3 linked regions of the Cricetulus griseus genome follow. The protein of the gene in region 1 purifies or fractionates together with the protein of each later gene. This does not show direct contact. Links are inferred from orthologs where the notes say so. Each region holds a gene or a part of one and is shown in the gene's direction. Other genes may lie near its edges. The genes, in order: Cd151, Itga3 and Itga6.

Region 1 (2,200 bases):
CATCCTGGCCTATGTCTACTACCAGCAGGTAAGGGCCTGAACTGGACATGGGGTACGTCTGGAACAGGTGTGCACACAGGCAGGTGGATCCCAGGGCTGCTTTGGGACTTATGGGGAGGCAGGTATGCATGGGGTTGACAGTGTCACTCATTTGCTTGCCCACTTGGTGGCTCTTCTAGTCTTGTCAGTCCCACTGGGGGTCCTGACTCTAGTTTTGCCCTTGGGGGTCTTAGACTTTGATCCTACCCACAGCTGAACACAGAGCTCAAGGAGAATCTCAAGGACACCATGACCAAGAAATACCACCAGTCAGGCCACAAGGGTGTGACTAATGCTGTAGATAAGCTACAGCAAGAGGTGGGTGTCCCCTATAACTCTCCACTTTCCCAGTATGGAGCTATATGTTGGCAGGCTGTAGGGCTCAGCCACATACCCCCTTGCAGTTCCACTGTTGTGGCAGCAACAACTCTCAAGACTGGAGAGACAGTGAATGGATCCGCTCTGGTGAGGCAGAAAACCGTGTGGTTCCTGACAGCTGCTGTAAGACTGTGGTACCTGGCTGTGGTAGGCGGGACCATGCCTCCAACATCTATAAAGTGGAGGTAGGTGGGTGCTGAGCAAAGGGCTAGACTGATTGGGTGTCTCCGGTCTGGCTACATCTTAGGGCAGCCTGGTCCAATAGGGCTGCATATGGGAGCCAGCAAGGTCCACCACTCTCTCCCCACTAGGGTGGCTGTATCAGTAAGCTGGAGACCTTCATTCAGGAGCACCTGCGGGTCATTGGGGCTGTGGGCATCGGCATCGCCTGTGTACAGGTATGGAAACAGAGGTGACTAGGTGGGAACACTGGGGTGGCTGGTGGCCCACAGCCTTTTTACACCAGCCTGGTCCCATGCAGGTCTTCGGCATGATCTTCACCTGCTGCTTATACAGAAGCCTCAAGTTGGAACACTACTGACCATGGTGCCAGGCCAGGCTGCCAGCCTTGCACTATGTCCCACCCCACTACGAAGTACTACTGAGTTAGACTGCTGACTGCCAGAGAGGTAGCTGTCCTCATGCCATCACTACAACCCCACCTCAGGGGTAGCTTCAAGTGCCTTTCACTGCATACCAAAGTACCAAGGCTTGAGGCAATGTACTTGCCCCAGGATAAGAGGGGGCAGGTATGCCAGTGTTGGGCTAGGCCTACCTGGTAGAATTGGGTTTAGATTATTTGACAAAAGTGCCTCTTGCCCACAGGCTACTTTCCTTGGGTAGCTGTGATTTGCATTAAGTGTTGGGGGAGAACATGGGTTTACCACTTGCATGGTGGGTAGAAGCAGGTGGGAAAGGCCATTCTGGGTGGTCTAGGTACCTTTCATGCCTGCTGCTGGGAACACTCAGATGTGCTTGCTCCAAAGCAATGGGGCAACCCGAGGGGAACTCCAACCCCACTCACTGTATATGCCGTCCTTTCCATCCAGGCTTCTCTTGCTCCTAACATCCTCAGCCCTGGCTCTCCCCCACTTCTGATAACACTGTGCAAATGCCCCATGTTCCTATATACTGTCTCCTTTTGGAACATCTCTGAACGGGGGTATGGCTGTTTCCATCCACTGTTGTAACCCTGATGCCCACACATGCTCCTGCTTTGTAACAGGTGCTCAATAAATATATGAACAGTTGAGTCAGTTTGCTGACAGGACCTTAGGGTCCAGGGTAGCTGGAGTACTCGTAAGAGTCAAAGATGGGGAAGCCTAGTAGCAGGGCAGCTAGGCTGACCTCTGGTAGCTGGTGAGCCTCCAGCTCACTGTGGCCTGGATTTGGCCAGGCAAAGGATTGCTCATATTCAGAATGTACCTTAAGAGCTCATTCTTGGGCTCAGCCATTAAAGGCTAGGCTCACAACCAAAAATATAAGAGCTGATTCTCTGTCCCCAGTAGTCCTATGCTGTTTAGTTTAGCTGGAGGAATGGAGTCCTAGGGGCCCCCTGACTCCAGTCTAAGGCAAAACTTTCTCCTCTTTAAAAACTAGCGTGGGTGTGTGCATGCGATTCATTTTAATCCCAGCACTCAAGAGAGGGAGGAGAAGCAGGCAGATTGCTGAGTTTCAGACCAGTCAAACAAAACCAAAAACCCAGAACAACAAAAATCTCAGTGGGATCAATGTGCTAAAAAAAGAACCCTGAGATATTTACTGCAACTACCTAGGAACCAGA
Region 2 (3,651 bases), on another chromosome or scaffold:
GGCAGCGCCATTGCTCTGGCAGACCTGAACAATGATGGGTAAGAATCTAAGGACATGGGATATACCCTCTGGGGCCAGGGGGAAAGGGGGGGTAGCAGGCTTGCTCAAGCTCGGTCAGAGAAGTAGTAGCTTTGCAGTCACACATTTGCTGTTTTCAGGGTCTTGCAATCACACTTTCTGGGAGTCTGGATATTTGCATGTCATTTGCATGACCCCCGTGCTTGCTTGTCTCTACCTGCCATTCATGCCTATCATTCGTAAGGTGCCAATGGGGCAGGAGGATCTTTTTTGGGTGTGATGTCTGCCTGCATGATTTCTCCATGACATGAGTTTTCTATTTGGTGGGTCCTGTTGGCCTTCTCGTGGCCTGTGGTCAGGTGTGTCATTTGCTCAGTTGCATGGCCCTGGCAAAATCATGGTCATTAAATGACAGTTATGTTGTTTATCTGGGGCCAACCTCACACTCCCATCCCATTCTTCTCTTGTGCAGGTGGCAGGACCTCCTGGTGGGTGCACCCTACTACTTTGAACGGAAAGAGGAGGTAGGGGGTGCTGTCTATGTCTTCATGAACCAGGCAGGCACGTCCTTCCCAGATCAACCTTCCCTCCTGCTTCATGGCCCCAGTCGCTCTGCCTTTGGCATCTCTATAGCCAGCATTGGTGACATCAACCAGGATGGATTCCAGGGTATGAGCCTGTGCCCCTCCTTCAGCACCCTCACTGACTGAGTACCAAGTGCACCCCAGGCTTAACAGGACTCACAGCTCAAAGGGACACGAGGCAGGACGTGCAGAGGATGCTACAGAGGCTCGCCTAGAGTGGGTGATAAGTGGTTGGGCTGAGAGTGCACAGAAGAGAGGCACAAATAGCATGGGCATGAGTATAGGAACTTGCAATGTAAGTGCACACTGGGGACAGGCTGGCGAATGCTCTGAAAGCCGGGCAGAGTAAATGGGGCTTTTCTATCTGGGTCATAGGGAGAGTAGGGTGGGGAGGTATCCAGAGAAATTGTTGGGGCAGGCATTTTATCTGAAGGCTTGATACTTTGGAGGGTGATTCTGGGGGGTTGTGGGAGGGAAACCTAGGGAGGTGGAATCAGGGATGTACCATATCAGGTGATGAGAATGGGATGGAACAAGGAGGGACCCTTAGTGGCATTGCCTTGCAGGTGCTCTGCAGGACCCGGGGAGAAGTCACAGGGAGGACACGTTAGGGTATGAGCCGGTTTCCTGAGGGAGCACTTAGCTTACCAAACGTCAGTTCTCTGACAACCCGAGTCTCCCAGAACACAGCTGAGAACCAAAGGAAAGGCAGAGGCTCTTAAGAGGCAGAAATGGACGCCAGAAAGGTCAGCCAAAGGGCCCAAGCACTTCCCACAGAAGGGTCAGTGTTTTCAGGTTAGGGTCCATTTACTCTCCCTGACTTCCTTTACAGTTACCCAGGCCTTCTCAGATCAAATGTAGCAGACCAGTCCACAAAGATTGAGATCGCCAAATGTGTTGAGCTTGAGGAAACATTGCCTAGCCTTTTAAAAACCTTGACATTATACTGAACAAAGTGCAATGTAGTATTGTAGTTATAATCCAGTTTCCTGGCTGTGTGACCTTGGGATTTGCTCATTTATAAAGGGGATAAATAATAGTAGATACTCCCACAGCATCCTGTAAGGCTTAAGTGAAATGGATGCTGAGTGCTAGCAGTGATCGAAGGAGAGTGGCTTCTTTTCTGGTCTTGATAGAAAATGTCATTAGAACCAAGGTGTCTGGAGAAATGGGGGATGGGATGACAGGAAAAAATGGAAACTGGGTTATGTTGGGAAATGTGGGGCACAGCTCTGCTGTCTGACTTTGAGGAAGTTTCTTCCCCTTTCCCCAACCTCCATTGCCACCACAGCTCTGAAGCTGTGACGTTCGCTGTTGCTCGGAACACTTTTGCCAGGGTGAGGTCACTGCCACGCTGGGCTCGGTGGCCTGCAGCAGAGAGTGAAAGAGCTAGGGGACCAGGAATGCCTGGTGACTGCTTTGTCTTTCCTCCCCAGACATCGCTGTGGGAGCTCCATTTGAAGGCTTGGGCAGGGTATACATCTACCACAGCAGCTCCGGGGGCCTCCTCAGGCAGCCCCAGCAGGTATGAATGCATGGTGGTGAGTCTGATACCCCTATCCCCGGGGCCTCCTCCTCCAAGCATGTCTCAGAGCCTGTCCCTATCACTTCCTCTTGGCTTCAGATAGTCCACGCTGACAAACTAGGACTGCCTGGCTTGTCCACCTTTGGCTACTCTCTGAGTGGGAAGATGGATGTAGATGACAACTCGTATCCAGACCTGCTAGTCGGGAGCCTGTCGGACCACATTGTGCTGCTGCGGTGAGCTAGGAGACTGCGGTGGGCAGGGGCGCGTCCCTCCTCCGTCCTCATCTTCACGGAGCCTCAGCCCTGCCCACCTTCTGCAGTGATCCACAGAAACCTGAAATCCAGCCCTGGCCAAAGGTAGGCAGGAAATACTAACACCTGCCTGCTTTCTTGTTGCTACAGGGCCCGACCTGTCATCAATATTCTCCAAAGGAGCTTGGTGGCCAGGCCACCTGTGTTGGACCCCTCACTTTGTACAGCTACCTCCTGGTGAGACTGTCAGCCCAGTTCTTCCCACCCACTCCTCATGTCTCGGCAGCCCAGCAAGGCCTCAGGCCCTAAGCCCTTCCCCTGGATACTCCTGATGTCCCACCATCCGCAGTTGGAGTCTAGGGCCAGCAATACCTTTCCTCACCAATGTCTTTTAAAGTCAAAGTTCCTTGCAGGAGCTAAAGTGTGTGCACAAGGTTAGGAACAGAAGCTCTGGACCATCTGGCTCAAAGCCGAGCCACTCATTGCTGGGGGAGAGCAGGGAGGACTCTGGGGAGGGAGGGCTGAAAGGAAGGGGGAAAGGAATGCTCTTACATAGATGGGTGTGGGGAAGGAGACTCACCCTGGGCAAATAATTAGCCGGAGTCTCAGATAACATATAAAAGGTAATAACCAATTCACAGAGTTCTTGAGATAATTAAATGAGATAATATACAAAAAAGCCCTGAGCACAGTACTCTGTACCTAAGTGTCCAAAAAACAGTTGTGAAGAAAGTGATAAAGATCGTAGTGACCCTGAGGGCTTTTAGTGGATACCAGTCTGATAGCAAAGGGGACTACTGAGCTGAAAAGCAGGGGATGGGTGACATAAGTAAGACCCTGGGCTGGGCCATCAGTTGCCTGATAACATCAGACAAATCCTGCTCCCTGGACCTCAGTTTCCTCACAAGTGACCTCTAAAAACTGAGACGTCACCACAGCTTGGTAGACTCCCCAGTTTTGCTCCCACCTTTCCCCCACAAGGGTCCTGAGTTCCCTTTGTCTAGCATAAGAGTGAAAAGTAGGACATGGCTGTCCCTCCCACTGTGACCAGGCCCTGCTATGCGTACCCCCAACAGTGTTCAGGTGGAGCTGTGCTTTGCCTACAACCAGAGTGCTGGGAACCCCAACTACAGGCGGAACATCAGTGAGTTGCTGGGCACAGGGTGCTCGTGTGGGAAGGATGGTGGGAAGATGCTCACCTGGCTCCTGCTGACTGCCCGGTCTGTCTGTCTGCAGCCCTGGCTTACACACTGGAGGCTGACCGGGACCG
Region 3 (4,403 bases), on another chromosome or scaffold:
GCCTGTGCGATGACATCTTCCCTGTCATAATAATGGACTGAACCTCTGAAATTGTAAGTGAGCCACCCCAATTGAATGTTTTCTTTATAAAATACCTGCTGTGGTTATGGTGTTTCTTCACAGCAATAAAAACCTGAGACACCAACTAACCGTGAGATATTAAATAAACAAAATTTTTATTTGGCAAGTATATAGTAAAACTAAAACTATTTTGAATTATTCAAGTACAGAAAATCCTGTGTGTGTGTGTGTGTGTGTGTGTGTGTGTGTGTGTGGTTTTTCAAGACAGGGTTTCTCTGTGTAGCCCTAGCTGTCCTGAAACTCACTCTGTAGACCAGGCTGGCCTCAAACTCATCAGGGATCCACCTGCCTCTGTCTCCCTACTGCTGGAATTAAAGATGTGCACCACCATTGCCCAGCCAACATATGTTTTTTTTTTTTTAGAAGAAAACCAATTATATTTTTAAAAATCTCAAAAAGTTAACATTTTTTTGCTATAGTAATATATTGTTGCTTCTTTATTGACATACATTAAGATCTAGCAGAGGGTTAAATGATAACAACTGTAATTTGAGACATGTGGAACAACCAAATGTCCTGGAGAAAACAATATTTTCTTTTGATGATTGGATTTTTGATACATATTCTCCTGCCTTTGTGGTTTTCTGCCAACATCATAATGAGAAAAAGTGCTAAATGTCAGAGGGTAATAAAAATGGGCACACCTTTAATTCCAGCCAGCAGGTGAATCGAGCCCAGCCTGGTCTACAGAGCTAGTTCCAGGACAGCTAGGGCTGTTACACAGAGAAACACTGGGGGTGGGGGGAGGGACGCACTAAAATGTACATTATTTTGTTCTCAGTCAAGTTCTGCATGTCCCTGAAACAAGTTTTTCTATCCTAAAATAAGGATGCCTCAAAAATCAACACCTTCCTGGAAGCCCCACCCTCTGCCCAGATGGCACAGCCTTCAAGCCACCCACATGGACCTAAGAGCATCTCTAGGTAGTTCTCCTTCTAACTAAACCAGGAAATTTGGGTAAGTAAACGGGACAATAGCCGAACTCCAGGCCCCCACATCGAAGGACTCAGAGTCAGTCAGCAAGTTTGAGTTTCTATTTTGCCAAAAGAATACCACTTCCTAAGATTGAACAAAATAGACGGCTGTGATTTTTTTTTTTTTTTTTTTTTTTTTTTTTTTTTAAGTAGCACAGCACTATCGAAGTCTGCTAGTGCCACGTTTTCGACGCTTGGGTCCATGGGGAGCCAGCAAGTATGTGGCTCCAATCCATCCTCAAGAGCTGGGCATGGTTAGGTGCATCTTGAACCCCTGCAGAATGGATGAGCCAAGTAAGACTGTGCACATCGGCCCAAGCTCCGAGAACTGTCGGCTTCAGGCGCCCTGGACCGCACTTCGGTGACAGGTAGGAAGACGCCTGAGTAGCATTCCTGGGCTCCCGGACGCAGGGGGCGCTTCCGGGCAGGTGGCGGGACGGTGGGAGGGCGGCTGCGGGGCGGGACCAGCAAGAAGGTGCCCTAGGCGGGCCGGGCCTCGGGCGGGGCGGGGCGGGGCGGGGCCGGCGCCCTCGTCACTTGATAAAACGCCTGAGAGTCTCTAGAGAACAACGGGCTCATTGAGCGGCTGCGAGTTGCAGGCGTGGGGGAGCGGCTGGACAGAGAGCGCGAGCCGGCCGGGGGTGGGGCCGCTCGCAGGGGCGACCGAGGCTAAGTGGCCGCAGAGGCGCGCCAGGCAGCCCGGCCCCGGCCCCGAGCCCGCGCGCACGGTGGCTGCAGCAGCTCCTCGCGTCCCTCCCATCGCGTGCGCCCATGGCGGTCGCGGGCCAGTTGTGCCTGCTCTACCTGTCCGCAGGGCTTCTGGCCCGTCTGGGCGCAGCCTTCAACCTGGACACCCGTGAGGACAACGTGATCCGGAAATCGGGGGATCCCGGGAGCCTCTTCGGCTTCTCGCTCGCCATGCACCGGCAGCTGCAGCCGGAGGACAAGCGGCTGTGAGTTCCCCGGCTCTTCCCACCCCAACCCAGGCGCCGTGCTGCGCCAGGGGGAGCGAGGGCGCGCCCTACTGCCGCCCGTCCCGCTTGCCCAGAGCCCATTCGCCGGCCAGCCCTGCCTGGCCCTGCCCTGCCCTGCCCTGCCCTGCCCGCCTGCACTTCTCCGGCCCAAGACTTGCAGGGCCGGGCCAGCCGCGTCCTCGGCGCCCTGCGCCCTGCGCCTCCGAGGAGCGAGGAGAACCGTGGGGAGACCCCAGGCCCTGTCTCGGGACCCCCCCCGCCCCCACCCCAGTGCTTTCCGCGGTTCTTCTCTCCTGGCTTATTTTGCACGGACCCCGGCAGGTGGCACGCTTTGCTGAGCCTCACGTGCGCCGGGGACGGTGATGGGACGTTGGGTTGCGGGAAGTCTTTCAGGGAGATCCAGGCCTTTCTCAAACTCTCCGATCCTCCTGTCCCCTCCCTGGCTCGCGCGCCCCGCGGAAGTTGGGAAGCCACTTTTAGCTGTTGTGTTACTTTCTCTGCAGAGTGGGATCCCCTACTTTCACTGGCTTTTAAAAAAGCACCTGTTCCGCAAGGCTAGATCAGCTGTGAAAAAAGCTGCTTCAGCGGTGTGCTAGCTCCCCCTCTCAGCTCCCTGATCCTTCGCAACACCCAATAATTCATGGCCCCCAGTACTGGGTGAGCTCCACCGAGGAGTTAGACCACAGTGACCCATCTGAGCAGGGCCTTAGCAAAGAAGGTTCGGAAGTGACAATCATCCCCCACTAGGGCTTCTTCCAGAAGAAAGCGACTGGTTCTCCCTTTTAAACAGTGTTGGCTCCCACATGACCCAGTTCTTTTGATCAAGGAAGATTTTCTGGAGCTTGGTTGCCTCAGTCGCTGTGGGGCTGCATTCTTGATCCATGCTCCCGAAGCCCTTTATAACAACAAAAGATCCTCCTCCCTTCCCAGGCCTTGAGTTGAACCCAGGTCCTTCCAGGACCAGCAGAGCGGAGAGGGCAGTGTGCAGTCAAGGGGGAGGGAGAGGCCAATATAATTTTAACCTAGAGACAACCCCGATTTCAGATAGTTAACAACTTTGAATTTTATGCATATTGTGGACTTCTGAATCTTAAGGTCAGGTTTTTCTGACGACACCTGCTAGGTGAAGCAGAGAAATCTACTGCGGGTGGGATGGTCCCAGGCAGGGATAGGGTCTGAGTCTACTTTCTCTCGGAAATAATTGTTGGTGAGCTGTAAATCTGAAGTGAAAGGTTTTTTTTTTTTTTCTTTCTTTAACCCAATGGATAACATTTCGTGTCTGAAAACACTGTGTGACAGACACACATTACCCACATGGAGGATTTGCTCTTGTTAGTGTAGAAGTGATTGTGGGCCAACAGAGGGACAATTTCCCTGTATCAGAGACCACAGAGACTGGCTTCCAAGTAGACATTGCAATGGGGAATAAGTGGAGCAAGAAATGTCCTTGGGATGGAGATTGCAAATTGCGCCTTTAGCCAGGAGTCTCTGTTGTCATCAAGGCAGCAGCCCTGGGCCTGCTAAAACTTGTCACTGCTGCTGGGCTGCTCTGCTATTTATTACAGCTGCTACAGGTCCTCTTGAGGCTGAGGCCCGGGACACCTTCTACAAACTCCATGGAGGCTTGTAGAAGGCAGTAGTTGGGCAGACCCTCAGCTGAGACCCACAGTAAGGGAATCTGTGTTATAGCCTAGAACCCAAAACTGTAGCTCAGGAAGCTGTGAATTCTGTCTAGTACCTCTCACCTGTCAAAGCATCCCAGGTTCAAGAGTAGCATAGACTGTCTAAGGAGACTCAGCATACACAGCCCACATCACCCCCATTGACTGACGGCTCACTGGATTCAGTTTCCAAATTCATTGGGAAGATCTCAGGGGACTAGGGGGTGGGGCTGGGGTGGGAGAGATGTGGAAAGCTGAATTTAGTTTCCTCTTGGCCATTTATGCTGCCGCTATTCATTTGCTTTAAGCTGTGGTTTCTTCACTTGTAGAGTGGAGATGTTTCTGCTTCCTTGGGTTGTTGTGAAGATTAAAAGAGCATGCAAACTGCTCAGTGTCTTCCCCCCTCCCCTCACCATGGACACCTGCTGGTTAAATGGGAAATGTTGATGGTGATGCATTTAAAAGTAGAAATTGTGGGCCTACTATGATAGATAGGTGCCTGGCACTACATAGCATTTGTGATTCTCAGACTGCCTCACATTAAAACCAAAGGCCCTTGCTTGGGTAATTAATATCCTAAACTCTTGGTCGCATTTATGAACTCCAAAGCAACTTAATTTACCTCAGGCTTCAAGTCATTGCAGAAGCAAACTTCCTGAACAGTGTCTTTGAGACAGAAGGTATGTGGGAATATCAGATAAATGCATGGTTAC

What was found.
Region 2: the proteins of Cd151 (region 1) and Itga3 purify together in Homo sapiens (co-immunoprecipitation; 4 studies listed by BioGRID and IntAct, with this or other methods). This does not show direct contact. The link is inferred for Cricetulus griseus from reciprocal best matches to the Homo sapiens genes CD151 and ITGA3.
Region 3: the proteins of Cd151 (region 1) and Itga6 purify together in Homo sapiens (co-immunoprecipitation; 3 studies listed by BioGRID and IntAct, with this or other methods). This does not show direct contact. The link is inferred for Cricetulus griseus from reciprocal best matches to the Homo sapiens genes CD151 and ITGA6.

Annotation. Positions count from the first base shown.
Region 1 is NC_048596.1:59,713,139-59,715,338, reverse strand, and holds the end of Cd151 (CD151 antigen), read left to right. Parts: coding exon 1-28; intron 29-252; coding exon 253-357; intron 358-443; coding exon 444-602; intron 603-728; coding exon 729-815; intron 816-898; coding exon 899-958; 3' UTR 959-1,669; downstream 1,670-2,200. UniProt on the Homo sapiens protein: Structural component of specialized membrane microdomains known as tetraspanin-enriched microdomains (TERMs), which act as platforms for receptor clustering and signaling.
Region 2 is NC_048600.1:108,238,822-108,242,472, reverse strand, and holds part of Itga3 (integrin alpha-3), read left to right. Parts: coding exon 1-38; intron 39-490; coding exon 491-687; intron 688-2,038; coding exon 2,039-2,127; intron 2,128-2,226; coding exon 2,227-2,363; intron 2,364-2,531; coding exon 2,532-2,618; intron 2,619-3,457; coding exon 3,458-3,525; intron 3,526-3,617; coding exon 3,618-3,651.
Region 3 is NC_048599.1:103,379,721-103,384,123, reverse strand, and holds the start of Itga6 (integrin alpha-6), read left to right. Parts: upstream 1-1,599; 5' UTR 1,600-1,826; coding exon 1,827-2,008; intron 2,009-4,403. UniProt on the Homo sapiens protein: Integrin alpha-6/beta-1 (ITGA6:ITGB1) is a receptor for laminin on platelets. Integrin alpha-6/beta-1 (ITGA6:ITGB1) is present in oocytes and is involved in sperm-egg fusion.